Elephas maximus indicus: one gene and its partners. The protein of the gene in region 1 purifies or fractionates together with the protein of each later gene. This does not show direct contact. Links are inferred from orthologs where the notes say so. Each region holds a gene or a part of one and is shown on either strand. Other genes may lie near its edges.

Region 1 (7,693 bases):
CCTCTTCTGACTTTAAACCACACAATACCCCCTTGATCTATGTACAGGTTCCTCATGAGCACAATCAAGCATCCTGGAATTCCCATTCTTTGCAAGGTTATCCATAATTTGTTATGATCCACACAGTCAAATGCCTTTGCATAGGCAATAAAAGACAGGTAAACATCTTTCTGGTATTCTCTCCTTTCAGCTACGATTCAGCTGACATCAGCAATAATATCCCTGGTCCCGCCCCCTCTTCTGAATCCCGCTTGAATTTCTGGCAGTTCCCTGTCGATATACTGCTGCAGCAGCTTTTGAATGATCTTCAGCAAAGTTTTACTTGTGTGTGATATTAATGATACTATTTGATAATTTCCGCATTTGGTGGGATCACCTTTCTTGGGACTAGGCATAAATATAGATCTCTTCCAGTCGGTTGACCAGGTAGCTGTCTTCCAAATTTTTTGGCATAGATGAGTTAGCACTTCCAGGGCTGCATCCGTTTGTTGCAACATCTCAATTGGTATTCCGTCAACTCCTGGAGCCTTGTTTTTTGCCAATGCCTTCAGTGCAGTTTGGACTTCTTCCGTCAGTACCATCGGTTCCTGCTCATATGGTACCTCCTGAAATGGTTGAACGTCGACCTACAGAATCTTAGGTGAGCTAAATTTAAACTAGATAATAGTTTAAGCCATTTTTCAGGCATAAACAAAAAGGTAAGTTTTACGAACATGTTTATGATAACTTGACAGTTCTTATCAAGCTGTCTTCTCAAAGTGTGCTCTGAATCTGAAAAAATCAAAAATTGTTTCCATAATGTATAAATGTGAAAAAAGAGTTAAAAATGACACTGACACAGTAATGTTCTTTATCTTTACAGTGTAGGATTCTGGATTATACAAGTATACGTATTTGTTGAAATGAGTAAAAGAAAAAGATACTGCAAACAAATACTGAACTCTAATGATATGCATACTGAAGTACTTAGGGGAAGTGGTATTTGTTGAAATGAGTAAAAGAAAAAGATACTGCAAACAAATACTGAACTCTAATGATATGCATACTGAAGTACTTAGGGGAAGTGTTATTTATATCTGCAGTTAAAATAGATGGGCAGTTACATGATAAAGCAAGTATATTAAAATGTTAATGGTAGCTCCAGGCAGTGGGATATGTCTGTTCTTTATAAAAATCTCTAGACTTTGCTGTATGTTTGAAAAAAATTCATAAATGAAACACTGGAAAAAATGGCATTGATAACACACTGTACATGTTAAAATGTTGTAAGCACTAACACACTTAGCGGAATGGCAGCACCGGGCATTTACTTGCTCCCTCACGCTTCCATTTCGAGGGCACTGGGTTTCTGGTCACGCTCCCATGGAAACCCTGGTGGCGTACTGCTTAAAAGCTATCGATGCTACCCAAAAGGCTGGCAGCTCAAATCTACCAGGCACTCCTTGGAAACCCGATGGGGCAATTCTACTCTGTCCTACAGGGTTGCTATGAGTTGGAATCGACTCGACGGTAATGGGTTTTGCTGCTTCCGTGGTACATGAACATACTTCTTATGCCCCTTTTCATGTCTACTGCACTTACTCTATTTACATGATGTCCCTCCCACCACAATATGAGTTCCTGAATGGCACGAATCTAATTTATATTTATATTCTTATTGCTTTGCATAATGTTCGGTTAATAATATGTGCTCAAAAATGGTGGACTGTTTGAATGAAAGTGGAATATTGCTAAGGATCAAACAAAATACTCTTTCTAGCAGATGCACTTTATTCGCTTCCCACATATTCTAAAAGTTAGTATGTTCAGTTTTCAAGAGAACGTTAATGTCCTTTACTCTCCCGCAAACATGCAAGATTTCCAAAGACTTTAAAAACGTTACAAACTCATCTGTACTCACGTGATTAGTTTGTATTCTATTACTTAAACCCGAAATCTGAAGCCCTCCTAATATTTCATAATTTTTCCGTACATACATTTTCTAAAAGAGCAGTCTCAAAATTCCAAATCAAAACCGTTACAGTTGAGTCGATTCCGACTCATAGCGACCCTATAGGACAGAGTAGAACTGCCCCTTAGAGTTTCCAAGGAGCGCCTGGTGGATTCGAACTGCCGACATTTTGGTTAGCAGCTATAGCACTTAACTACTAGACCACCAGGGTTTCCCAAAATTCCTCTAATTTGTTTTATTCAAATCTTAGATAAGCTGTCAGAACTAAGAGATCCCTGAATGGGTCAAATGCAGGAAACCGGACATCTAGGTAAAAAACAAAAACCACGTAAAAAAGTCGTGAACCAAATTAACCAAGAACTGTACCAAGAAACTGCGGGTACTGTGAACATGTCAAGCTCCCCCTTAGCCGGGCTTCTCTCCTCCCCTTTCCAATTACAGCCAGTCAGAGATGGCACCGCCCGGCCGCTCCCAAGATCCCACGCGACTGGAGCTGAGGCAGCGGTGGGAGCATCCTCTCACGTCAACCTCCCAGAGACAACGTGCTTTCGTGGCGTAAGCACCTGATTCTGAACTGGAAGACCCAGGTGCCAGTCCCAGCTGCCCCACCTGCCTAACCCGTGGCCCTGCACAGGTCTCTTCCTCTAGCTAGGCCTCAGTTTTCTCATCTGTAAAATGGTAATGATTACCCTAATCCCGCCCGCCGGGAAAACGAGGAGCGTAAAGAAGATGCAGGAGACTGTCAGTTTTGTTACAGCTTTTAAGCACGCGGTGCTCCCCACCCAGCCTCGGTACCAGTCTTTCACAGTCACCTCTGTTCCTCACTCCCTTCCCGCCCGGCGCCTGTGTTGAGGCCGCTCCCTTCTGCTGGCCCCATGCGGAAGCCGCGCGGCGCCATCTGCCGTACCTGCAGCGACCTGGTCAGCGGGACCCTCCTGCTGACCCATGACGAAGTCGTGCACGAGGCCCCACAGGGCGCCCGTAGGCGCCACCGCCTCCAGAGCGGCGGCGGCGGCCATGACGCGAACTAGGGACCGTGGGAGGGGAAGTAGGCGGTGGGAGGAAACGGATCTTTTCGCGCATGTGCCTCATGAGCCAATCACCGGGCTAAGGTGGAGGGGCGGGGCGCTCCCGGGGTCACGTGCCTGCCGGCTCCTTGCCGGGCAGGTCCAAGGAGGGCTGGGACAGCCCTCCTTAAGGGGCGGGGCCTGGGGTCGGGGCGGTGGTGCGGGGTGGGAAAGCGGCTGCTGGGCACCCAGGCGGGGGCCATTGAGGCCGAAAGACTCCCTGCCTGGCTCCCAGGGGACTGGAGATGGGGCGGGCACCTGGCTGGGTGGGCCCCGGGGGCGGTACGCACCCCGCGAGAAGCCAATGAGAAAATCAGGCCCGGCCCGAGGGGGCGGTGCCGTCGGTCACATGCGCACCTGGGGCGGGCGGTGGCATCACCCGCACCGCGGGCCGGCGGAAGGGAGCGGGGCCGGGCTGGGGCGGGGTTAGGCAGGTGAGTGACAGGCTCCGGGGGGACGGCCTCAGCTGGGAGCCCTGAGCGAGCCCGGAGTAGCTGCGGTGGTGCCCGCCCCCTCTCTCCGCCCCTCCGGCGGAGCTGGTCTCCGGCCGGGCACCGTCGCGGACCCCCCTGGCCCGGCCACCTGGGGCCGTGCTGGGGAGTCGGCCACCTCCCTCTCTCCCCTCGCCCGCAAAGTTTGTGGCGAAGCCGGCGCTGGGCAGAGCGCGCCCCCGGGGGGGAGACCGGGGAGCGCCCGATGCGGGGCGGCAGGAGCCGTTGACCCGGGACGCCGCTGTCCGAGGCAGGAGCGCGGAGCAGCCGCCCACCCCGCCGCCCCCGGTGCATGGGGCCTGGCTGAGGAGCCAGCATGGGCAACTGCGTGGGGAGACAGCGCCGGGAGAGGCCGGCCGCCCCGGGACACCCCCGCAAGCGAGCAGGTAACGACGGGGAAGGGAGCAGGGCCACGGGCACCGTGCCAATTGTCCCCCTTCCTTGCCAGAGTCCCGGCGTCTCGAGCGACCACCCACGGCTCCTGGCGCCTCAGGTTTCCCCGATGGCTGCTCGGGAGCCATCCCCAGCTCTGGGTGGCCGGAGGAGCTGAGTTGGGGAAACTGCGAGCGCTGACCCGACTGCTAGACCAAGTCGCTCCAGCCGGGAAGCTCTTGGTGGGGGTGGGGGCAGGAAATGTTTGCAGACAGCCACAGGGCCGACGGAGGGGAGGGCCCGGGGCGAGGGCGCCGCTGGCCTGGCACCCGGGCCGGGGTCGGACGACTGCCCGTCGGGCGCAGGCAGCCGGACGTCCCCAGAACTCGGAGCGAGCGAGGCGAGAGCAGTCAGTCCTTCCAAAGACTGTCTGTGTCATTATCGGGCTTGCAGATCGTGTCTGCAAGAATCCGACTTGCAAAAGCAGCGCAGGACTCTGGGAAAGAAATCTTTATTTTCCCGCAGGGCTTTTTAAAACCTCCTGGCCGTCTTGGGGTCTAGGAAATGTGGGGTAGAGGGGTGAGAATCTCCCTCGGGTTTGTTGAGATCCTTCCCAGCCTTGAGAATGGGATCTGCTCGCTGATGATCCGCGAGGGCCAGGCAGCGCCTTCTCATTTTCTTAGTACACCCCTCCTATCCTGGCAATTCGCCCCGGGAAGAGGTCTGGCCGCCGTTTCCCCAGGGCTTGTACTCACTTCCTTCTCTAAGAGTGTTGCAAGGACCTTCTGAGAATGATAAAATCGTAGACTTAAGAGCTGAAGGGGACTTTAGAAACATGTCTGGATTCCAGATAGACCTACCGTCTTCTCTCTATATCCAAAAGCCCAGACCCAGAGAGGTTGAGCAACTAGCCCAAAGCCACACAGCGTGTTAGTAGCACAGCTAGGGCTAGAACCCAGTTTCCTCTCCACCCAATTGCCACATAACATTTATATAAGAGGAACCACAGGGGAAGTTGTTAATGAAGTGGAAACTCCAGCTGGAGTTTCCTGTCTCCTTTGACGCCAAAGGTGTGTTGCTTGGGGTGCGGAAACTGGGAAGGAGGATGGGGGAAAACATGGAAGAAGCAGGGAAGGATGTCTGTGTGGTGGACAGGATGACTTGAGGAGGAAGAAATGTGTTTTTATAGAAAGAATGGGGTAAAACTTAAAATCTTCTTACCTGAAGGCAATCCTAGCCATTCTTCTGAGAAAGTTGACTCTGAAACAAAGGCTTCCTTCCTCCCTTCATTCATTCAATAAATATTTATTATTTATGTACTTGTCCTATTAATTGATTTTGTAGCATTTTTCACTGTGGACAGCCGTCTCCTACTTGCAACTCTCCTTCCTTCCTTCTTAGCATTAGACTGGCTTGGTTTTCCTCTCTGATCAACCTGCCCGCCAGGTATTTCCTAGGGGTGGGCATACCCGTGGCTTCCTTTGACATTCTGTTTTTTCTCTCATGACACTCCCTGCCAGAGAAATCTTATTCAGTCCCACAACTCTTTATCCACTGAGAAGATCCCTGTGCTGTTACCTTCTACTGTTACTTCTCTCTTAATCCCCACTTCCACCTCTCTAAAAGACGTTCATATCCTCTAGATATCCTGGGAGATTCAACATCTTTTAAACTAAGTTCTGCCATCTCTCCCCCTCAGTCGGCTTCCCTTCCTTACTCTTATATTCTCCCAGCTGCCTAGGTTTGTACCTTGTCTCCCTGCTGATTTTCTCTGCCTCCATGTTCTCTGCCTCCCAACCAGCTAGTCCCTGGAGTCTACTGGTTCTTCCTTCAGCAGGACTTATAGACCTGTTCCTTCCCACTCTACTTCAAGGCTTTGTCACCTCAAATCCAGTTCCAGTCTCAAATTGGCTCACCACCAAAGGCAAGTTCATCTTCAATCATTCATTCAATGCAGAGTACTTGCACACTGTCGTCCCCCAGAAGGAGTTTAATTTAATCCACTGGTGTCACTAGAGGGGTTCAGGGGATGCAGACCACATCTGGTGACACTGTCAGAGGGGTGACACCAAAATGACTGTCTATAAAGTTTTTGTGGAGTGTTTTAGCAGAAATATATTGTTTTAAATAAAAATATTCCTGTAGTTAGATATAACAACAAAAACATTTTTTGTAAGCCCAGCTTACATGTATCAATGTGCCTACAAGGCTAAAACTCTATGCTTATTTACTTTTTGAACCTTCTAATGCTCTCTGGGAAAACCCTGGTGGCATAGTGGTTAAGAGCTACAGCTGCTAACCAAAAGGTCAGCAGTTCAGATCCACCAGGCGCTCTTTGGAAATTCTATGGGGCAGTTCTACTCTGTCCTATAGGGTTGCTGTGAGTTGGAATCGACTCGATGGCAACAGATTTAATGCTGTCCGGAGCCCTGGTGGCTCAGTGGTTAAGAGCTACAGCAAGCTACGGGTTCTAACCAAAAGGTCAGAAGTTCGAATCTACCAGCTGCTCCTTGAAAACCCTGTGGGGCAGTTATACTCTGTCCTATAGGGTTGCTGTGAGTTGGAATCGACTCGATGACAACGGGTTTAATGCTCTCCGGAGCCCTGGTGGCTCAGTGTTTGAGAGCTACAGCAAGCTACGGGTTCTAACCAAAAGGTCAGAAGTTCGAATCTACCAGCTGCTCCTTGGCAACCCTATGGGGCAGTTATACTCTGTCCTATAGGGTTTCTATGAGTTGGAATTGACAGCAATGGGTTTGTTTGTTTTAATGCTCTCCAGTCAGAACTGTCATCATTACCCAATTACAATGATGCTTTGAATCACGTGGTTTAGTCTGGACAGGCTCCAGGCATGCGCTGTTGTTTTTGTTGCTGCCACTGTTTCTATAGTAGCTGATTTTGTCAAATTTTCTGGTGATTTAGCTACAATATTGTGGTAGTTAGTATTCGTGAACTTATATCAATAATTTTTTTGAGAATGAAGTAGTAATTAAAGGAAAAGAAAGAGTGATACACGGGAATTACGATTTACAAGTTAACAGTACAAAAAACATTATTGTATGGTCTGGTACAGGAGGAGGTCAGTGGGTTGCGGGGGATGACACCATGAGTTACCACATTAGATGACACCAACCCTAGGGACGTCACTCATTTATCCTGTTCCAAACCCTATGATTCTGTTTTCAAAAATGTGTACCATCCTGCTGTCTACAAGAACTTTGGCTTTCAGGGCTATTCAAGTCTTGCCCTTTCAGGACCTTTTTTTTTTTTTTTTTCTCCTCTTCCCTAATATTAAGACCACCAGTTTGTGCCATTTCCCCTTTCTTATCAAGAGCCTTCTTCACGTCAAGGCCCAGCTCAAGTCCCATTATCTTCTTTGAAACACTTTCCCTGACATCGTCCCCCAGCAGAAGTGATTGCTGCTTCTGAGAACTCCTGCAGATGCATTATCTATGCCACTTAACAATTACTTACTCCATGTCATTAGTCCTGACTTTAATGTTTACATTCTTAAATCAGCAACTACATGGCAAGCCTTGAAGACCTGGGTTCTACCTTATTCTTATCCATGTGTGTCTCTGTCTCTCACTCACTCACACACACACACATCACTTAGCACAATGACCAGTACAGAGGAAGCAATCAATATTTGTTGATTTTAGAAAGCTAACCAGACTTAGGAAACCCTGGTGGTGTAGTGGTTAAGTGCTACGACTGCTAGCCAAAGGGTCAGTAGTTCAAATCTGCCAGGCGCTCCCTGGAAACTCTATGGGGCGGTTCTCCTCTGTCCTATAGGGTCACTATGAGTCAGA
Region 2 (7,028 bases), on another chromosome or scaffold:
AACTTACTCTGGTATTCCTCACTTCCTTTCAAATGGCTCAAACCAAGATTTTCAACAGACTTTAGCACTAAAAAAAGAAAGAGAAAAAGGACATCAAGGGAAGATAATTAAAAAAATAATAATCCAAAACAAATAAAATCTAGGATCCTTTAGCAGTTCCACAATTGCTTGTTTATAAAGGACACTGTAGCAGTTTTATTTTCTGCAAGTATGTTATATAAATTATATACGCTTGTAGAAGGATAATCTCGGTCTACTTGCAGAAATTATCCATGTCCCACAGCATCCAGCATTATCTAATACCATGTCTTTTCAACCAGGGAAAAGGGAGGAATGGTGGATAATCACTGCAATACTAAGCCACTGTTGATAAGGAAAGGAATGTACTCTTCAGGTATATCAAGAGAGAAAGGAGCTTAAGCACCACTGTTTACATCCTTCATGTGGAGCTGTCTATTAGGGGTCTGTTTCGTTTACTTACAAGAGACCAAAAAATAAAATCCTTTCTTTTCTTATGCAGAGAAGAAGCAGACACAACAGTGAAGACGCAAGGCCAGCCAATCACCCAAAAGAACAATTCTGAATAAATGTCACCTACTAGTCAAAGGTTCCTCCTAAAGCCCCTTGTCCATTTTCCCCAAATGAATTCTACTTCCCTCAATAGGATTTTTTTTTAATTCAAGAACGAAAACCTTGCCTTCTGTACATGAACTCACGTCCCATAGGCAACTCCTAATTGTCTCAAACCAAATTATCTTCCCCTCAATCTTCCTCCTCCTCTTGCATTCCCCATTTTCATATAAGCAGAGTCTCTATCCACCAGATCATTCAGGTAGGAACTTCAGCCACCTCCCACCTGCTCCCTCACTGTTTACATCCAAACTGTCACTAAATCCTACCAGTCATAACTCAGAAAGTATCCCTAAATCTCTCCCTATCACTGTCATTGTCAGTACATTAGTTCAGGCGCTTACCATCTCACCTCTTAAGTGCCAAACCCAAGGAACGCTTTTCAATCATTTTAATCCCTATGAAGCATCTGGCTCTGTTACACTTCCTTCCTAAAACGCTTTTCTTCCACGCCTTCACTCTTTAATTCAATAAACAGGTACTGAGTGCGCCTCTCTCTATACTAGCAGTTCTCATCCTACTCCTCCAAGAATGATTACCAGTATCTCACCTCTCCTTTGGATTTTCCCACAAAGATATGATGGGACATAAGTATGAAGATAGTACTAGTATTTCTGCCTCAGTTCCTGCCTAACTCACTCCTTTCATCCATGCTGCATCCTTCTTACACCGCAATATTATACAAGAGCATGGCACAAGATACCACCATTATTCATACTTCTTCATCTACCCTGAAATTGTCGCTGTTCCCTCAAATATTACATTCTCTTTCATGCCTCTAAACACTTGTACAGGCTGTTACCGCAGCTTGGAAAAACCCTTAATTTCCTCTCTGTTAGGAAATTTCTACTCATCTTTCAAGGTCCAGATCACATTTCAACTTCTCTAAGAAGCACAGATAATCAGACTAAGTCAGTCATTCCCAACTCTGTGCTTCAAGAACTGTTAGCACTACTATTTATCTCTACTGGAGTATTTAAAATTTTGAATTATGATTATTATTTTGGATGTCTGTCTCCATGTACAAGGATACAGCTTCAATGAAGATGGGAATTATAGTATTCATCTCAAAATCTCTGCCATCTAAAACATGCACTCAGTAAATAAGCACTGTACAGTACAATGAATGAATAGCAAATCCTCAGTAAATATCTTCTGAATGAACTGCTGAAAAGGGGAAAAAACTTCATTCCCATAAAACGTAAGTGAGCTTCTGAAGAAAATATGAATTCTAATTTAAATATTACTCACATTTAACTCTATCAATAGCCAAGTTTTCAAACTCTATCAAAGATATGTTTTCAGATGGCGGCTGGAGGTAAAACTGGAGGCTATGAGGGTAGCAAGCATTTCTCTGGTCACCTGCCAACTTCAGCTTCCTCCGATTTCCTCCAGAAAACTCCATCTTGGTTACCTTGGAAAGAAGCACATAAAAAGTTACAAGAAACAAAATAATCCCACATGCACAGAAAAAAGTCTGAAGTTGAAGAGCATGCACAAAATGTTAATAGTGGGTATCCCTCAGTGATGTTTTGCTGTATTTTCCAGATTTTTCTACAACTGTGATAATTTTGTGATGGGGTGAAAGGGGGGGAAGGTGAGGGAGATTCAGCCTGGTGATCCTAACTTCCAGCAACATGAATGTCATGTGACAGTGCCTGCTGACAACTGGTCTACGTGCCACCACCTTATAAGTCTCAAGAGGTGAGGTTGTACATGTGCTGCAGTCCCGAACTCAGAAAAATGACTTGATGAACCAGGTACAATTACTTCCCCATCGTATGACCTCGAGAAATAAAACTGTCTTTTGAAAATCCTTTTAGGGATTTGTGGAGGCTCCCCACTACCCAATCAGCAAGGTACACACGGGCTTACCAGTGCTTACGTACTAATCTGTAGTGCACAATTTCACCTTTTTCACATCAAAGATGTGGTGAAATCGTGCACTACAGATTAGCAAGTAAACAAAAGCAAGCCTGGGCGTACCTTGCTTACTGGTTAATCCGCCCCTAATTTTTTTTTTTTTAAGAGGGAGCCTCCACAAGTTCCTTTATGTTCCCACTCCGATCCCCTACCACCTCAGCGAAGCCATCTCCACTCAACCCTCACCGGTGCCCGCGTCTCTGCCACAAACCAACCACCAAAACCCCCATTCCCGACCGATCAGTCCTTCTGCTCCCACCGCCCGCAAAGTGCTCCCCTTTTCCCCTTGACTTGCAAGCCTCAGCACCAGGATTGCTCTCCGTTCTACAATACGCAGGAGTTTCTCTTACCTGAAACCACAGCAAGCATGAGAAATACACAAACGCTGACACTTATTCCTTCCCTGGTGGCGGGAGAGTTCGTATGGAGCCGGAAGCGGAAACAACTGGTACACAAGGCCCGCCCCCAAAGGTCCCGCCCGCTCAGCGTGGGCTTTGCGCATGCTCAGTGCGGTGCTTCTGGGAGCTGAAGCTGTTTGGTCAGCTTTGAAAGCTCAAAGTTTTTTAAGTACGAGTGTATTTGAAGATTTGGAGGCGGGGAGGTTCCCAAATTTTAAGGCGCACTTCATGCATGCGGAGTTGGTAGCTTTTAACAATTGAAACTAGGCTGAGAGAATACTAAAGGCAAAACTACTACACGCTAAAGAATGAACCAATATAACTTCGTTTGGACACTCACAAAGATTGCATAAATTAAGGAAAATGTGCTCTAACAAGCAGTTATGGCATTCATCACTTTCAATCTGGGAGAAGAGTGGAGGAAAAAGGGGCATTTACTGAGCTGCTTTTTTGCAGCCAACTCACAAAAAAAAAAAATTAAACCGCTTACCGTCCAGTGGATTAGGACTCAGCGACCCTATAGGGCAGAGTAGAACCACCTCAGAGTTTCCAGGAAGGGTCTAGTGGATTCGAACTGCTGACCTTTAAGTTAGCAGCTGTAGTTCTTAACCAGTAGGCCTCCAGTGTTTCTGCTTCTAGGGGTTGTATTTTTTTCCCATTTAGTCTTTCAGCGGCCCTATAAAGTAGTTCATATTACCCCATTTTGCACATGAGAAAACTGAAGCTAAAAAATAATCGTTAGTTTGCCCATCGATGTACAGTACATATTTTTTCTATTGGGCGGCAAGCCCCATAGGGGCAGGTTCCACTTTCAGTTCACCTTTAGTTTTCCCCACAGTGCCTCGCACATAGTTAAGCGCCCAACAAAACACCCGTGGAATGAACTAAAACGATTGAATAAATGCACACGTGCAGAAATCGCTCTGGGTCTACAAAAATTGAGATAGATCAGGCTAGGAGAGAAGACAGGATCAAAGAAGTGGCAAGTGCCAGGAAGAAACTGGATTCACCATGAACTTTCTGAATCTCACACTGCAGCCTCAGAAGCTGCGCATCAGACCCACGCCTAGCTCTCTGGCTACTATCAGTAGGATATTCAAAAGCTGGAAATAAACTTCACTGGTGGCCTCTAGAAGGCTGTCTCATTTACAAAAGTGGTAGAGGAAGGCTCTGGTTAAGTCCTTGGGGGTGAAGAGTGCTTTGAAATGTTTGAGTCCTTAGAAATGTGGAATATATTGAAACAATATCAGGCTTCAAAGCACCTATGGAGCATGGACCTAACTGCATATGACAGTGCTTTGTACAGGACCTATTCTAAGTGATTTTACCCATCACTTCATTTTATTCTTATAATGTTATGAGGTGGGTTCTATTATCAAAACCATTTTAGCACCTGATCTCTAAAATCTACATGATTCTGCTAAAACTCAACCCCAAAAAGACAAATAACCCAATTAAAAAAGTTCACTAAAGAAAACATTAGGTGACTAACAGATACATGAGGAAATGCTCTCGATCATTAGCCATTAGAGAAATGCAAATAAAAACTACAATGAGATTCCGTCTCACTCCAACAAGGCTGGCATTAATCCTAAAAACAAAATAATCAGTGTTGGAGAGGTTGATGGAGAGACTGGAACACTTATACACTGTTGGTGGGAATGTAAAATGGTACAACCACTTTGGAAATCAATGTGGCACTTCCTTAAAAAGCTAGAAATAGAACTACCATACAATCCAGTAATCCCACTCCTTGGAATATATCCTAGAGAAATAAGAGCCTTTACATGAACAGATATGTGCACACCCATGTTCATTGCAGCACTGTTTATGATAGCAAAAAGTTGGAAGCAACCAAGGTGCCCATCAACGGATGAATGGATAAATAAACCATGGTATATTCACACAATGGAATACTTCGCATCGATAAAGAACAATGTTGAATCCATGAAACATTTCATAACACAGAGAAATCTGGAAGACATTATGCTGAGCTGAATCAGTCAATTGCAAAGGACAAATATTGAATAAGACCACTATTATAAGAACTGGAGAAACAGTTTAAGCAGAGAAGAAAATACTCTTTGATGGTTATGGGGGGGGAGGGTGGGAGAGAGGGAGAGGGGTATTCATTAATTAGATAGTACATAAGTTTCATTTTAGGAGAGGTCAACACAAATGGACTAAACCAAAAACAAAGAAGTTTCCTTAATAAACCGAACACTTCAAAGGCCAGTGTAGCAGGGGTGGGGGTTTGAGGACCATGATTTCAGGGGACATCTAAGTCAATTGGCATAATAAAATGTATTAAGAAAACATTCTGCATCCCGATTTGGAGAGTGGCGTCTGTGGTCTTGTACGCTAGCAAACGGCCATCTAATATGCATCGATTGGTCTCAACCCACCTGGAACAAGGAAGAATGAAGAACACCAAAGACACAAAATAGTTATGAGCCTAAGAGACAAAAAAGGACCACATAAACCAGAGACTACATCAGCCTGAGACCAGAAGAGCTAGATGGTACCTGGCCATAACAGATGACTGCCTTGACAGGGAACTCAACAGAGAAACCCTGAGGGAGCAGGAGAGCAGTGGGATGCAGACCCCAAATTCTCATAAAAAGGCCAGATTTAATGGTCAGACTGGGACTGGAGGGACCCCAGAGGCCATGAACCCCAAACCTTCTGTTACCCCAGGGCAGGAACCATTCCCAAAGCCAACTCTTCAGACAGAGATTGGACGGGAATAAGGGATGGAAAATGACACCAGTGAAGATCAAGCTTCTTGGATCAAGTCAACACATGAGACTATGTTAGCCTCTCTTGTCTGGAGAGGAGATGAGAGGGCAGAGGTGGCCAGAAGCTACCCGAATGGACACAATGAGAGAGAGTGGAGGGACGTACTGTGCTATCTCATCAGAGGGAGAGCAATTAGGAGTGTATAGCAAGGTGTATGTACATATTTGTATGAGAGACTGACCTGATTTGTATACTTTCACTTAAAGCACAATAAAAACTAATTTTAAAAAAACCATTTTACCAAAATGTCTACATATTTTTATATGTATACATATATATATATATATTTTTTTTTTTTACTGATAAGGAAACAAAAGAAAGAGAAGTTAAGTAACTTTGAAAGGTCCCATAGTAAGTGACAGAGCCAGGTTAGAAGCCAGGAAGGCTGATCCCCAGGACTGCAGTACTAACCATCACACTATAATAATTCCATTAATATGACAGCAGAACCTCACCTTCATTCCTTCCTATCTGTATCAGACACATAAGTAACACCAACTGGTCCAAAGAAGACAACTGAAAGCGTGTGAGCCTGGACTTTGAACTGACTCAATCATAGCTGACGAAACAAAGCTAGAGGACACCTGAATTTTACAATTTGGGTGACTCAGAACCATAACCGGGACAGGAAAAATTATGCGTCAAAACCCTGGAAGGGGAGACTCACAGGTGGTATAGTGAGCAATTTCAGGAGCCTGATACATAAAATTGGATTATTGCCAGGACTGAGGAGAGCAACTCACATCCAAAGCAGCATGGTAGGACCACCAGATCTTTGAGATCTTTGAGGAGGAACACAGTTTTGCAAAATGGAAGAACAGGCAAGAGATTTGGTTGCTACACATTGCACACACTGCCCTTGCTTTCTAAGAAAGACGTTAGCTTTCTAGCAGGGCTTCAACCAGTAATTTTTCCCATTCTGGTTATGGTTCTGGTTCACACAAATTTTTAAAATTCGAGTCTGTTCCAGTGTGGCTTCCTCAGCCATGATTGAACTGGGAAGAACCAGTTCCAAGCCCTGATATGAGCTGCCTGAACAAACCTGGAATGCAGACCTTAAGAAAATTTAAATGACCTTGCAGGATTTGCCTGAAGAAGTAGGACCTACACCTGAGGTATCCAAACTTATTAAATATTACCCTTCTCCAAGTGTGGTCTCAAAACAGCAATGGGGACCAGCTTGACAAGACCTCTGAGCTGAGACAGGGCATTCAAATGGTGTCCAGCACTTACTGATGACAGATGACTTTGAATTTTGCCATCTCCTCATGAAGCAAG
Region 3 (7,262 bases), on another chromosome or scaffold:
AGGATAGAAGTCTGGAAATAAAAACTGGAATTAACAAATATATAAACAAAACAAATAGAAGCAAAAGAGTTTCTGTCAGTTTGTTATACTGTAGTGGCTTGAGTGTTGCTATGATGCTGGAAGCCATACTACCAGTACTTCAAATACCAGCAGAGTCACCCATGGTGGACAGGTTTCAGCAGAGCTTCCAGACTAAGACAGACCAAGGAGACAGGCCTGGCAATTTCTTTCTGAAAATCAGCCAATGAAAATACATTATGGATTGAAGTGTGTCTCCCAAAAATGTGTGTTGTAAATCCTTACTTCTATACCTGTGGTTATAATCCCATTTGGGAATGAGTTGCCTTTATTATGTTAATGAGAAAGGATTAGTGTGGGGTGTATCTTAAATCAATCTCTTTTTAGATATAAAAGAAATTAAACAAGGAAGTGAGAGAAGAGATATTGGGGGAAGAGAGATGCTAAGCCACACAAAGATCACCTAGAAGCAGAAGCTCAAAGAGACAAGGACCTTCCTCCAAAGCCAACAGAGACAGAACGCCTTCCCCTATACCTAGCACCCTGAATTTCAACTTCTAGTCTCCTAAACTGTGAGAAAATAAACTTCCATTGTTAAAGCCACCACTTGTGGTATTTCTGTTACACCAGCACTAGATAACTAACACACGTAACAGAACATTGTCTTACATAGTACAGGCAGATGAGCCCTTCAAGCTGGAAAGCACTACACAATAGCCACAAATGGACTCAAACACACCAACAATCAGGAACATGTCCCAAAACTTGGCAACTTTTTGTTCTGTCGTACACAATGGTGCCATGAGTCAGAGCCAACACAACAGGAAATAACAAACATAAAATCACAGCGTTGGAGAACACGGGCCTTGTAGTCTGACAAGTCTGGCTTTGCATCCCTGCTCCGCCATGTATTAGTGGTATGACCTTGGGCGAGTTACTTCCCTAGGCCTTGGTGTTCTCATCCGTAAAATAAGGACAGTAATAGCATCTACCTTATAGGATTGTGGAAACAACTGGTGGTACAGTTGTTAAGTGCTATGGCTGCTAACCAAAAGGTCGGCTCCTTGGAAACCATATGGGGCAGTTCTACTCTGTCCTATAGGATCACTATGAGTCAGAATCGACTCGATGGCAATGGGTTTGGTTTTTTTTTTTTTTGGTTCATAGGATTGTTACAAAGATTAAATGAAATAATGTGCTAAAAGGACATTAGGTACCCAATTAAACATGCGCTCTTATTACAAATTTGATCAGATATAATCGATCTATAGAGAGAGATTCCTGATCTTTCCAACTCCATAGCACCACTCTTTTTCTCCTCCTATTCTGTCCCTTTCTGTTTTTCCTTTCTGCAGTCTTCTGGTTAGAAGGAAAAAGCTGTGGACCAGCAGTCGGGAAGTTTAGATTCTAGGTCAGGTCTGACAGCAACTCAGATGTCTTTTCACTTCTCTGTACTGAGACCCTTCATTGTAATAATCTTTAATTTAAAAGTTGCTGTAAGGAAGAAAGTGCCTTGGAACATAGAGGGTGCTCAATAATTCTTATTTAAAGGTCAGTAAGGTAAGGTACAGTGCTACGACTGATAACCAAAAGCCTGGCAGTTCAAATTTGCCAGGCGCTCCTTGGAAACTCTATGGGGCAGTTCTACTCTGTCCTATGGAGTCGCTATGAGTCGGAATGGACTCCACGGCAGTGGGTTTGGTTTTTGGTTTAAGGTATGGTGGAAAGAGGATGGGCTCTGGAGCAAGGCAGACCTAAATCTGAATTCCACTATGTTACACAGTTAACCTCTCTTGAGCCTGTTTATTCATCTGTAAGATGGCAATAATACTAACTACCTGATAAGGTTTTCATGTATATTAATAATATTTAGTCAAGTACTGAGTTAAGAATTAAATAATGTACAGAATGTGCCTAATCCAGTATCTGACACAGAGAAAGTATTCACTTTAATGCCGCCTCCTCTAACCACTGTTTTTAACCTCGGATCTCTATGGGTAATTCAGAAACTGTGACCTCTTGAAATTGCATGCAGAAATTTCTGTGCATGATTGCACTCTTCTGAGGAGAAAGTCCATAGATTTCTCACTTCCATAAATATATCTTAAGGAAATAACTGAAAATAGAGAAAACAAAAGCTGAAAATGTTATCAATTGAGGAATTATTTTGCAGTAGCGAAAAAATGGTAACTTCAATCTAGGGGTGGAGTGATGGTTAAATTATAATACAGCAATACAACAGATTATGAAGCCAGTAATAAACCTAATCACAGCTTGTGTTGTTCCGAAAGTTAAGAACCAGTATTCTACTAAAGTACTTTCCATTTCTAAAGTTTTGTGATTCTTTCTATAAAGCTCTAAGAACGGGATTTGGTGGAATACTAACCTCAGTGCGAACCAACAACTCAAGGCCACCGTAGTAACTCAGCTTTAACCTAGAAATCTATCCATCCCAGCCCAGCTGTGGCAACGCGCATCTCGTACACGGGTAGCTCTCCCCGCAACATTGCAGAAAGGGCAAACGAACCGACCGCCTCCTGGCGCCCCCTCCCGCCAAGAGGTAACACGGAAACCCGGGCTAATCACCGCTCCAGGGCGGCAGGGAAGGGGTCCCCTTCTACCCAGGTTTTCTTCCCCACGCTTCCCTCCTCTCACAGGCAGTTGTGATCCCCAAGGACCAGGTGATCCAGTCAACACCGATGGGCCTGCAAAGGGACTTGGGCAAAAACAGAAGGCACCCCCCCCGGCAGGCTTGGCGCCCCCCCTCGGACAGACAGGCTTGGCGGTCCTGAGGAAAACCGAAGCAATACTGATGCACGGGAGAAAAGGACGCCGATTTCTGAGAGCAAATCATGCGGAGCCCTGGCAGAGACGAAAGGACACAAGCCTCCACTCTCCCCCTTCCTCAGGGGTCGCTACTCCCCTCTCCTCATCCCGGATTCGGGGCGGCTTTACCTTTTCTCCGCTCCAAGTCTTGTGAAACCCCCTCAGCAACACCGTTTCCGAAGAATTCCCGCCTCCCACCCCTCGACTCCCAGCACCCAATCGCCGAGCGAGTTGACAGCCAATCACCCATCTAGAGCGGAAATCAAGCGACCAATCCTGGCGCAAAAATAGTCGGCGGGCGCGCTGAACACCCAATCCACGCCTCCGAGATAAGAAGAGCCCCAAGATACTTGGCGGCACCGGAAGGTAAATCAGTAGAAAAGTGAGCTGCAGCCGCAGATATTTGGGCTTTGAAGGGAAAGCGCTTTCTCCGCTTGACTTTTGAAATCGGTGATTTCACCCCGGCACCAGCTTCCTTGGAAACCCGAAATCTCACTCTTAAAGTTTGTAGAGCAACGAAAAGGAAACGCCTTGCCGAGTTCTCTGAGCATTCGTTAGTGCCACTCAGTTTAAATTTCCGAACTTGACAGTAGCTGGAGTATCAAAGACTGTGAGGCAAATTAGGCGAAACGGTTCTAAGACAACTGGCTACAGTATTCAAGCCTTAAGTCTCCGAGGCTTTTCCCGATGGCCAGATTCCGCTGGGGGCACGCTCTCGACGTCTCCAGTCCCGGATTCCTTCTACCTCCACTGTGGCTTACCCACCTTCTACCCCTCCGGAGACCAGTTTTTTCTTTGCCAAGACGTATACAAAGACGAGGATAATCATGATCTCGCCAAATGATGCTTATTTTTAAAAAGTATTTTTTGTACAACCTAAACTGAGGGCAAATACTGTCGTTAGCTGCTCTGGAGTCGGTTGCGCCTCACAGGGAGCCTGTGTACAACAGAACGTAACACTGCCCGGTCCTGCACCATCTTCGCAATCAATGTTTGAACCCCTTGTTGCAGCCACTGTGTCACTCCAACTCCTTGAGGGTCTCCCTTTTTCACTGACCCTCTACCAAACATGTTCAAATACTAAACCAACAAAAACTAAAAAGGAAACCTTGGTGGCGTAGTGGTTAAGTGCTAGGGCTGCTAACCAAAGGGTCAGCGTTTAGAATCCGCCAGGCCCTCCTTGGAAACTCTATGAGGCAGTTCTACTCTGTCCTATAGGGTCGCTATGATGTTCAAACACTGGTGCCCCACAAAAACAGAACCTGACACAGCCTCTCAAATTTAAGTAACTAGAGTTTGAGGAGGGGAAGGTTCCTGGAGCAAGGGATGAGAAGAAGGCAAGTTGATCTGTTTGTCTTAGTTTTTTTCTACATCTTCTCAAAACGTCAAAACTTGTAGTCATAAAAATAAGTTCTATCCTTTCACCTAATAATCTCAGTCCCAGAAATTTATTCTAAAGTAACCTAAAAGTGTTCATACCTCAGTTGATAGTAATGCATATTTGTAATGCTGAAAAAAAAAGATAAACTTCCCAGAATAGTGATGGTGAGATGATTGTGATTATGAACTCAATAGATTATAAAGCCAGTAATTATAAAAGCTAAACAACTTGTAGGGAAAAATTCCATGTAAAGTTAAATGGAAAAAAGCAGACTCTAAACTGGGCATTAGGAATTTAGTTATGTGAAAATATGTATGCATAAACAAAGATGAATGGAAAGTACAAAAATGTAGTTTACCGTTAGGCCAGTGGAAGAATAATGCCATTGATTTATAATCCATTAAAATACCTTCTCTGCTTTCATAAATTTTTTATACATCAAATCCTTTAAATAACTATTCCAGGTAACTACTATAATTTTCCTTTCCTAAATTCCTAAGGCTGTCAACTGGCTTTAACCTGGTATTGCCATTTAATGTATGTGGCATAACGGAAAGAATACACATAGGCTCTGAAGGCAGACAGTCCTAGATGCCGGTCCCTTGAACTGTGCTTTCAGGTTAACAGTAGTGGAATTAAACACAACAAAATTACAAGTTCATTGATAAAGAATATGAATGTTTATAAATCAATATTCAAAATAGCTGCACACATCTGTTTTCACTTGAATAAAAAAATCACATTATGACAAATTTTATAACCTTAACTTAAAATACATGAATATTAACATTTACTAACATATTTACATATTTTTACATCAACAAATCTGAAGAAAAACAGGATATGTTACTATTTTAACACAGCTGGTTTTGACCAGTCTTGGAAAGTTGATCCAGGAATGTGCACTGCATTTAGTTAGAAAACATACTTCAACCTGTTTTGAACTCCTAGAGGACACCTACTCACACAGAATATTCCAAGGCCCCAGTTTAAAAAAAAAGAAAAAAGGAGCAGTTTTATTTAACCTTAAGGGACTACAAAACTGCTTTGTTTAAAAATATGAAAAGTCTTATGGTGTTTTTTAAGTGTATGCTTTTATTTTTCCCATAAAAATTAGTTAATTGAACATTAAACATCTACTAAAAGCTATAAATATTCTGTCATGTATGATACTTCATGATTTGAAACAGCTACAAACTAGTTCTTATATAACACCCTTATGAGGTAGGGCCAGTAGTGATCCTATTTACAATGGAGTCAAGTAAGATGTTACTATTCACTAGTTTAAGGTTGAAGTTAAATTTGTTTTCCTAAAAACCACATTTTCTTATTACCTGCCCAACTTACTTACTTACTGTTATTTTCAAAACAGTGAAGAGATTTGGTTTTTTTTGGGGGGGGGGGTCATTAAGGTATTTCTCAGAAAGCAAAGTACCTGAAACACTGGACACCTAATTTTTTTTTTAAATGAGGATTATAGGTTACCTGAATACCTCTACTTAATCAATAGAAGTTACCAGCAGAGGACTGCAAAATCTATTGGCAAGACGGTATTTTCCATATTTTAATTTTTCCTGAGGTTCAACACTATATATATTTTCCTACTCAAAGACCTTATCAAAGTAAGATATGAATTATAATCCTAATGACAAACCAAGAGCTCTTTAATCCAATGAGTTTTATTGCTCTAAATTGTTTATTTTCCCTCTCTGAACATTAGATAAGTTAATCATTATAAAAATAATTAAAAAAAAAAAAACTAAATGAGATCTTTCAGGTTCTTTGCACAAAGATGATTCTTAAAATCCCAAATTATTCAAGTATCTCCTTAAACCTATGGCTTCATATATTAGTAAACTTGAAGCAAATATGTAAAATCTTTAAGTTCTCATCTGTAATTCCATGAAAATCATTATAAAAATTATTTGCCTTCTTTAAAGCCTTCTCAACACTGTTTATTGAGAATTGGAATTCCATCTTGCATTACTATAACTTGCACTGAAAGTCTTGGAGACTTCCATTTGGGTGTTTAACTCCTAGTTTTTCCTGAATTCTCCCTTCCCTTGATCCCTTCTCCCTGCCATCACTGCAGCATTGTAGCACTCTGTTAGAAGCTGAAAGTTAAAATAAACACTAGGGCTACCCAAAGACTCATTTTTATAAGAAATCAAATTAAAGGCATGGAAGTCTTTCTTCACTTCTAAATCTAAACATGCCAGATTCACTTTGCTGTAATGAGTTTCTTAAATGTGCTCCCAAGGGGGGTAAAAAAAAAGAAAGTTCAGCTGCTACAGTATAAACATACCAGCAAACTAGATCCAAAGAACTGTCAGTCATATACAGGCAAGCATAATTCTCAGAGAGTTCTATTCATGTTGAATGGAATCATTTTAGTGATTCCAAGATACTACTATTCCCATCCAGTTTAACATTTGTTACAAGATGCAGACTCATGTGGGTATATGCAACAGCTTCATTTTTTGCTTTAATTTTTTTTTTAAATTCCACTAACACTCATGTTTATTATTTCAATTATTGTGCTTTCAATACAATGACAGAGCTGCACATCAGGATCCATGCTTCCAGTGTCTCTAGATCCATTTTTATAAGATGGATCTTTACAGAGTCCAGACCATCCACTTGGTTTCTCCTTTATTTGTTGAAGACCTAAAAACATAGGAAAGAAAAATAAATTAAGGCAAGAAATCTGGAAATGATTTTGGCCCTTTTTTTTTTTTTGAGATATTAAGCTAACTCTTGAGAAGAAGTTACTACTTACGTGTAATAATTGGATCGATGTCTCTTGTCTGAGTGGCCACATCAGAGGCACAGACTTGCCCTATTTGGATCAACAAAGACATAATATCCTCATACAATGGAGGAAATGCTCGACAGAAAGAAACCAAACTTGGCAGAGTTGGCATGAAAAAAGCGTATCGCTTGGCTTGTGTTAAAACTGTTGGAAAGAAGTGAAACAGAATTTTTTACTTTACAGATATCTATATATACAGATATATATACAATATACTAAGCACCA
Region 4 (7,225 bases), on another chromosome or scaffold:
TAAACAGTAATCAGTCCAGACTGGAGAGGTCAGAAATCTCCAGGAGAAATGTTTTCAAGATGAAACTGACAGACTACCTGATGGATCTGAATATATTGGGAGATGAAGACAACTGGCAAAGAGTCTGGGGTTGAATTTATAATCTAAATTTTAAAGTAATAAAATTTACATTAGGAGCATAATAAATTAGGCATGGGAAGGTTTTGTGTGTGGTGAGGGTAGAGGGTGAGGTGAAAGAAAGCTAAATCCTCATCTGCCAGGATGGACAGTCAATATATAATGCTTAAAATGGAAAAATGAAAGAAATATAAGCAATGTTATTTAGAGACATGAGGCAAATAAGAATCAGCTAAAATAAAGTGGTTGCCTCTGGGGAGCAGAAGCTGATGGTAAAGGTGGGAGACTTTTTCAAAATGCCTATAGAACTACTTGATTCTATAAACTATTGGCATATATAACTGATAAAAATCACAAAACACATACCAAAGACCAAACCAAACCCACTGCCATCAAGTCAATTCCGACTATTAGCAACTCTGTAGGACAAAGTAGAACTTCCCCATAGGGTTGCCAAGGCTGTAAATCTTCACTGAAGCAGACTGTCACATCTTGTGGAATGGCTGGTATGTTTGAACCGCTGACCTTTTGGTTAGCAGCTGAGCACGTAACCACAGTGCCACAAGGGCTCCTTACAAAACACATACACAAAGGTCTATAAATGCCTCTCTCGGCACAATAAGAAAATGATACTTTTTTTTCCTCCTTCAGTGGGACAAGGAAGCAGAATGGCATCCTGGCCCTTCTTTTGAGACTTCAGTTTTATTCTTCAGTAAACTGTTCTGAAGCATTTTTGCTGCCTGCCTTTCCTTATCTCTTCTTTTCCCCTTACTCTGCAGGTGGGAGACAAACCTGGGATTTAGAGTCAGAAAATCTGGCTTCAAGTCCCAGCTCTATCTTTTAGAAACTGTGGGACCTTGGGCAAACTAAGTTCCCTGGGCCCATTTTCTCCTCTGCAAAAAGATTAAGATTGATATGAGGAACAAGTTAAGCAGCATACGAAAAAGCTCCATACAAAAGTTATCATCCCATGTGTGTATTTTTAAAGAAGGGAAGAGCAATTCTGATTTATTCATGTATTCGACAAATATTTATGGGGTACCCACTATTCTAGGCAATTCTAGGATAGGTCAGTGGCAGGGGGTGGGAGGAGTGGCAGGTTGCAGCAGATCTCATTGAAAATGTGCTCTTTGAGCAAAGACTTGAAGGTGAGGAAATGAGCCAAGCAGATATCTAGAGAAATGTGTTCTGGGCAGTGGAGACAGCTTGAGCAAGAGCCAGTGTAGCTGTAGTGGAGTAAGAGGGAGAGAACGGCTTTTCACTCAGTGAAATAGGGAGCCACTGGAGAATGGTTTTGAGCAGAAGGATCACAGAATCTGACTTGTTTTAAGAGGATCACTCTGGCTGCTGTGTTGAGAGTAGATTTTAGGGTCTGGAGAGGCAAACTGTTAGGTTTTATAGTAATACAGGTGAGACAGAATGATGGTAGCAGTAGTTGGGTTATAGATATATATTATGGTAGGGCCAAAGGGATTTCCTAAGGCAAAGAATGTGGGAGTGTGAGAGAAAGAGAGGAGTCAAGAATAACACCAATGCTGGAAGAGAATATAATACTTTTTACTCTCTCCCTTAAACCACGTTGACGTCCTCATTTAGTCTTTTAGCCAGATACTAAATTTTTTTGTCCTAGTGGGAATGTAACCAATTCGCTCCCAAACGATTTCCAGTCAGTAATGTAGAATGTCAAAAAACAAAGAAGATTACCAGTCTACCTGCAAAAGCAGTTAAGTAAACATTATGGGTCCTCAACTTGAATAAACTCTAAAAATTTATATCAAAGGCTGGGGCACCAACCCATCCTTGGTTTGAAAATAAAACAATACATAAAAATGATTTCTTACTCTGTGGGAATATACTGCACCTATATCAATCTTGTATGGATTCATTTTCTGCATCTCTTTTTCCAGCTCACTCTGGTTGTTGAAGGATTGGTAGCGAATGTAAATATCATCTTTCAATGTGAATGAAAATTCACGGTGTTGAAAGTAATTCTTTATCACTGCAAAAGAAATTTACATTTTAAAGCTAATTTGGTACCTTACTCAGTTCAGGGCATTATGGCATTTGAGAAATGAGAATACAGTTAGTGAGCCCCGTGCCCAACACTATACTAGATGTAAAAAAGAAAGGGAAAAAAAAAAAAGGGACAAGAGAGAGTACCTCATTTGAAGGGATGTATCCTTCCGCAACTGTTAGGGAAAAGTAAAGTGAGCAGAAAAAATGCAGAAATGTTAAAAATCTAACGCCCCGGTAGGCATTAATAAATTAAATCAGCTGCCAAGAGGATAGTACTTCTCCTCCTCCCAGAGACGCTCTTCTGTCTCTGATACAGATCACGACTCTGTACCTTCATGCTACAACCCAGTAACCCCCTTGCTTAGGCACCGCGGCAGGTCAACTGGACACCTAAAGTGAGCCTGACCGCGTAGGAGGAGGAGCAGCGGCTATGCCTTTCACTGTGTGTCCGTAGGCTGATCAGTGTAGCCTCTCTCGGCCCCCTTCCGCCTCAGAGGAGGTGAGGAGGGCTCAAGATAATGCACCAAGGCGCCCGGCACAATGCCTAGCTCGCAGGAGGTACTTCATATTGTCATTCCGAGAACATCCCGCCAAGAACCTTCTTACACTGCCCTCCCAACCCACTACCCACCCGCTCTCCGCAGCATCACCTCCGCCATAGTTGAGCCAGCGGTAGTATTGGGCATAGGGAAAGAGCCTCCGGTAATAAATCTTAAGCAGTTCGGGCAGATCGGCAGGGTCAAACACCTCCATGGGGCACGGAATTATGCCAGAGCACGACTACCCCAAGAATTGGCGGGAACTGTAAAAAAAAAGTACAGCCGAAGCTTCCGTCACTGCGCAGGCGCGCTGGGCCCTGCTGGCTGACTGGACCGCCGGAATTTGTAGTTTCTACTTCGGGAATGGGCCAGTCGAGGGGCTCGGCGCAGGCGCGCAGACACTACAGCACCGTTCACGTGGGCGGAAACAGTGTCCGTTCCCGGAAGAACGTCTCTGAAAGGTGAGACTTTTGGTTTATCGACTTAGGTTATTAAAGTGGAGTAATAAAGATATTCCGTTCTAACTTTATGAATGTTTCAGAAAAAACGAACGATGCAGACATTTTTTAAAGAGAGTTTGGAAGTTAGTTCTTTTAATATTTCAAAGAATTGCTGAATTCAGTAGAACACCCAGGAACGCTAAAATATGAATTAGAGAAGCCTGCAGAATCATGGTGAGCTTTACGGGTATGAAAAGAGTCGGTTTGCTACTGATGTGGCAGTTACGCCAATCAGCCCTACTGAATAAAAGATACATCTCATTGCAAATGTGGGTTGCGGTGGGCAGCCTGATAATCTAGTTGAGTATCTTGTCACTTGAAAACCATTATTATTAATATTATTTTCACAGTAATAGTAGGAAAGTCAGGAGAGAATAGAGTCTTTCGTAAATGGATTTATTAGCCTAATCTTGAAAATGATCATCACCCCCCAGCTTCTGTGGGCAAGTTAGTCTGCAGTGGGCTCTGGGCAGATCATATTTTTTAATGTTGCCAGAAATCTGGCTTCCTGCACAAATCTTGATTGTTAATTTTCACAGCCCCTATGCATCCTGTTTTGGGTAGGGTCAATTTCAGAGCCTTTAGGGTCTTCACTTTTCCAGTAGTAATAGGAATGCTTTGCAGAGTGGTCTTTCTGGAACCACATCCACCTTGGACTGTTTTTATTCTTTAATTATGAAACCTGTGAGAACCCGAACTCAATGGGATTGCCTTGTTTTTCCGGGTCTTGCAACTTTTCCGTCTCTGACAGGGTGCAGTCTTACCACTTTTCTCTCTCTCATTTTAGTGGAAAGTATTTGAGTTTTCCTTTGCTGACAGGTTTTCACCTTATACAAGTTCTGGCTTTCGTAGATTTTACTGTATAACAGAACATTTATCAATTCAAAATTTTTTACATGTACAGTTTGGTGATACTGATTACATTCTATCATGTGCAACCAGCACCATGATCCATTTCCAGATTATTCCACCACGATTAACAGAAACTCAGTGCCCCCTAAGCCAAGACTTCCCCTCTCTCCTGCCTCCTACCCTTGGTAACCACCAAAAAAAACCTGTTGCCGTCAAGTCAGATTCCAACTCACAGCGACCCTATAGGACAGAGTAGAACTGCCCCATTGGGTTTCCAAGGAGCACCTGCCTAGTGGATTTGAACTGCCGACCTTTTGGTTAGCAGCTGAACTCTTAATCACTATGCCACCAGGGTTTCAATCTCTCTAAAAATGGCATGGGGGCGGCGTCTAACCTCTGATTTCACAAGGAGGAAGGAGAATCATGATCAACAGCCCAGGGCTGATTCCTGTGAGGTGGAGGTCACACATGCCTCCACCCTCCACCCTCTTCATCAATTCTCACACCAACTGTCCCTCCCATGGCACTCCCTACTTCTTTGCTGAGTTCTATAATTCATTGACAATGCTCAGGATTATGGGTTTATTAGGGAAGTGACAGGTTACAATTCAGGTTCAGGAATGCTTAGGATACAGTTCTTCGATCAGGACAGCCTCTTCCCAGCCATGCCTGCCTCTCTCTGGCCCCTTGCCCACTGCCCTGCTTGGGCAAGCATTATAAAGTTCTTTTGGCCCCTTAGGCTCTACCCTGCTTGGGCAAGTGTTACAAAACTTTCAGCTCTGCTGATAAGTGCCCCGAGGCACACCACTCTGCCAGTAAGCCCCTGCTGGAAGGCTCACCTCTAGCTCCGTGGGTCACAAAGGAAGCACCCAACTTTGCCAGCAAGACTCCTGCTCAAAGGCACTAAGCTTTCTTGCTCCGTAGGCCTGGAAAGCCTACTGTGCCAACTCCTGCCTTTGTTTCTCTGCTGCCACTTCTCGCCATCTTCATGTTACAGCTTTCTCTTTCTCTTTTTCTTGGTCTGATTCCAGGAGCTTCTTAGCATAGGGATCCCAGGTCCACAGGATGTGCTCCACTCCTGGCTCTTCTTAGCAGTGGTGAGATCCTCTCCTCCTGCCTCTGGGATGGCTCATCTTAAGGCTAGTGGGATGGCAAAACTGACCAGTCCTTTTGTTAGTTTTCCATAGACCTCATTTGCATGGTCCCACCTGCACAGGGGTGCCATGAACTTTATTTGCATTATTAGCAAGCTATCCAATCCTCTTGGTGGGCCACAATTACCTTATTTGTATACTCTCACCCAGTTACTTGGGTGGGAGATACAAGACCATGGTGAGAAAGGCCATATGAAAGTGATCCATTGCGCTGCAGTCTCTGTGCGTTTGCCTGTGTCATGTAAGTGGACTCAAACAATATTTGTCCTTTTGTCATGGACTTATTTAATTCAGCATAATGTTCTTAGGTTTCATCCGTGTTGTAGCATGTATAAGGACTTCATTTCTCTTTGTGGCAGAATAATATTCCATTGTATGTGTGGATCACATTTTGTTTATCCATTCATCTCTTGATGGATATTTAGGTTATTTCCATCTTTTGACAATTGTGAACAGTGCTGCGATGCGCACTGGACTTTTAAATGGAGATTTCTCAGCTTCCCATCAAATGGAAATTTCTCATCTTCCTTGTTGCTACCTTTAGGAACTGACTTCTTTAGGCTCTTCAGGAGTCCCCTATTTAAATTCCAGGGTTGCTAAGGAGGACAATATCTTAAGTAAGGAGCTAAGACATAAGGGGAGAAGGGAAAGGAAGTTATATTTATTGAGTTCCTGCTATATGCTTGGTTTGTTTAACATTAGTTTTCTCATCAGGAAAAAGGGAATAATAATAGCTAATATTTATATATATATTTAATATTTATATAGCACTTACTATGCCATCAGGTACCATTTTAAGAATTTATTCCTTATAAGAATCTATGTGGTAGGTGTTAGTATTATTTCTCTTTTACAGATGAGGAAATAAGCATAGAAAACTTAATTTGTCCAAGGTCACAGCTAGTAAGTGGGGAGCCAGACAGCCTGGCTCCAGAGCCTGTGCGTTTAACCCCTAAGCTACATGCTGAGTCTGCATGGGGTTGTTATGAGAGTTAAAGGAGTGTCTGGCACAGTCCATGACTCAGAGCCACTCAATGTGAGAAGGCTATTTATTCCTTAAAGGTGTTCTGTCATGATTTTTTGCTGTTGTGTTGATTTTGACTCATAGCGGCCCTGTAGGACAGAGTAGAACTGCCCCATAGGGCTTCCCAGGTAGTAATATTTATGCAAGCAGACTGCCACATCTTTCTCCCATGGAGCACCTGGTGGGTTTGAACTGCTGATCTTTCAGTTAGCAGCTGAGTGCTTACCAAGGTTCCTTGTGTTCCGGCATAGAGGCGTTTATCCCAGACGCCACCAGGAGGCAGTATTGGCATTCAGTTTGTTTCCCATTGGGATTTCTAGGCCACCTAGGTGCAAAAGTCCTTTCTCCTTCAAGCCTTGTACTATCTGGCTTTACCATCCTCTTTAGCGTTTTTGTAATATCTATCAGTCCCAGGTCTGTCTCTCCAAGTTCTTTGCAGATTTGGACACCTACCTAATGGACTTCCCTTCCAGTTCAGCTCCACCTGTTATTCTGGGTGTTTTTAGCATCTAGAAGGATGATCTCTTCAATAAAAGTATGGCTCATTCAGCCACTCTTTAAGTCATCTATTTACTGCACAAATAGTTTATAAACATATGTGGGCACTTTGCCAGGCTCTTGGGAGAAAAATTTAATGATGAGATGCTTTCTGCTCCCAAGAACGTTATAGTCTAGTCAGAGCAATAGACACAAATCAAAAAGTGCAGTGAAGTGTTATGGATGCATTTGTAACCCAAACGTCTGTTGGCATCAACATGTTCCTTATGCCTTGGATAAGATTGGCCCAGGCTCCCAGTCCACAATTTGGAACATGTCCGGTGTCATCTCCTTGATTTCTGCAAACTGGTAAGCTTACTTTCTCATGGCCACCTCTGGCTCAGAGCTCCTGCCAGAACAGAGTTATTTCAGTTAAGAAATCACTTGTCATCCTGCACAGGTTATCCTTTTACTGGAATAAACGGACCCAGATATTGAGTGCACCTGTTCCCATGATTTCCACACCAAAAACCAAAAATAACCCAG

The links.
Region 2: the proteins of MMS19 (region 1) and PRIM2 purify together in Homo sapiens (affinity purification with western blotting; 5 studies listed by BioGRID and IntAct, with this or other methods). This does not show direct contact. The link is inferred for Elephas maximus indicus from reciprocal best matches to the Homo sapiens genes MMS19 and PRIM2.
Region 3: the proteins of MMS19 (region 1) and BRIP1 purify together in Homo sapiens (affinity purification with western blotting; 3 studies listed by BioGRID and IntAct, with this or other methods). This does not show direct contact. The link is inferred for Elephas maximus indicus from reciprocal best matches to the Homo sapiens genes MMS19 and BRIP1.
Region 4: the proteins of MMS19 (region 1) and PRIM1 purify together in Homo sapiens (affinity purification with western blotting; 3 studies listed by BioGRID and IntAct, with this or other methods). This does not show direct contact. The link is inferred for Elephas maximus indicus from reciprocal best matches to the Homo sapiens genes MMS19 and PRIM1.

The regions. Positions count from the first base shown.
Region 1 is NC_064834.1:49,246,412-49,254,104, forward strand, and holds the start of MMS19 (MMS19 nucleotide excision repair protein homolog), read right to left. Parts: upstream 3,016-7,693; 5' UTR 2,971-3,015; coding exon 2,859-2,970; intron 1-2,858. Other genes in the region: translation initiation factor IF-2-like, read right to left, coding at 3,040-3,280, 3,376-3,803; UBTD1 (ubiquitin domain-containing protein 1), read left to right, coding at 3,826-3,895. UniProt on the Homo sapiens protein: Key component of the cytosolic iron-sulfur protein assembly (CIA) complex, a multiprotein complex that mediates the incorporation of iron-sulfur cluster into apoproteins specifically involved in DNA metabolism and genomic integrity.
Region 2 is NC_064819.1:123,099,813-123,106,840, reverse strand, and holds the start of PRIM2 (DNA primase large subunit), read right to left. Parts: upstream 3,004-7,028; 5' UTR 2,904-3,003; intron 2,045-2,903; 5' UTR 2,036-2,044; coding exon 1,882-2,035; intron 68-1,881; coding exon 1-67. UniProt on the Homo sapiens protein: Regulatory subunit of the DNA primase complex and component of the DNA polymerase alpha complex (also known as the alpha DNA polymerase-primase complex) which play an essential role in the initiation of DNA synthesis.
Region 3 is NC_064837.1:33,843,759-33,851,020, forward strand, and holds the start of BRIP1 (Fanconi anemia group J protein), read right to left. Parts: upstream 3,018-7,262; 5' UTR 2,974-3,017; intron 2,491-2,973; exon of another isoform or gene 2,405-2,490; intron 1-2,404. Other genes in the region: INTS2 (integrator complex subunit 2), read right to left, coding at 6,723-6,892, 7,005-7,181. UniProt on the Homo sapiens protein: DNA-dependent ATPase and 5'-3' DNA helicase required for the maintenance of chromosomal stability. Acts late in the Fanconi anemia pathway, after FANCD2 ubiquitination.
Region 4 is NC_064822.1:116,653,883-116,661,107, forward strand, and holds the start of PRIM1 (DNA primase small subunit), read right to left. Parts: upstream 3,002-7,225; 5' UTR 2,887-3,001; coding exon 2,784-2,886; exon of another isoform or gene 2,765-2,783; intron 2,117-2,764; coding exon 1,959-2,116; intron 173-1,958; exon of another isoform or gene 1-172. UniProt on the Homo sapiens protein: Catalytic subunit of the DNA primase complex and component of the DNA polymerase alpha complex (also known as the alpha DNA polymerase-primase complex - primosome/replisome) which play an essential role in the initiation of DNA synthesis.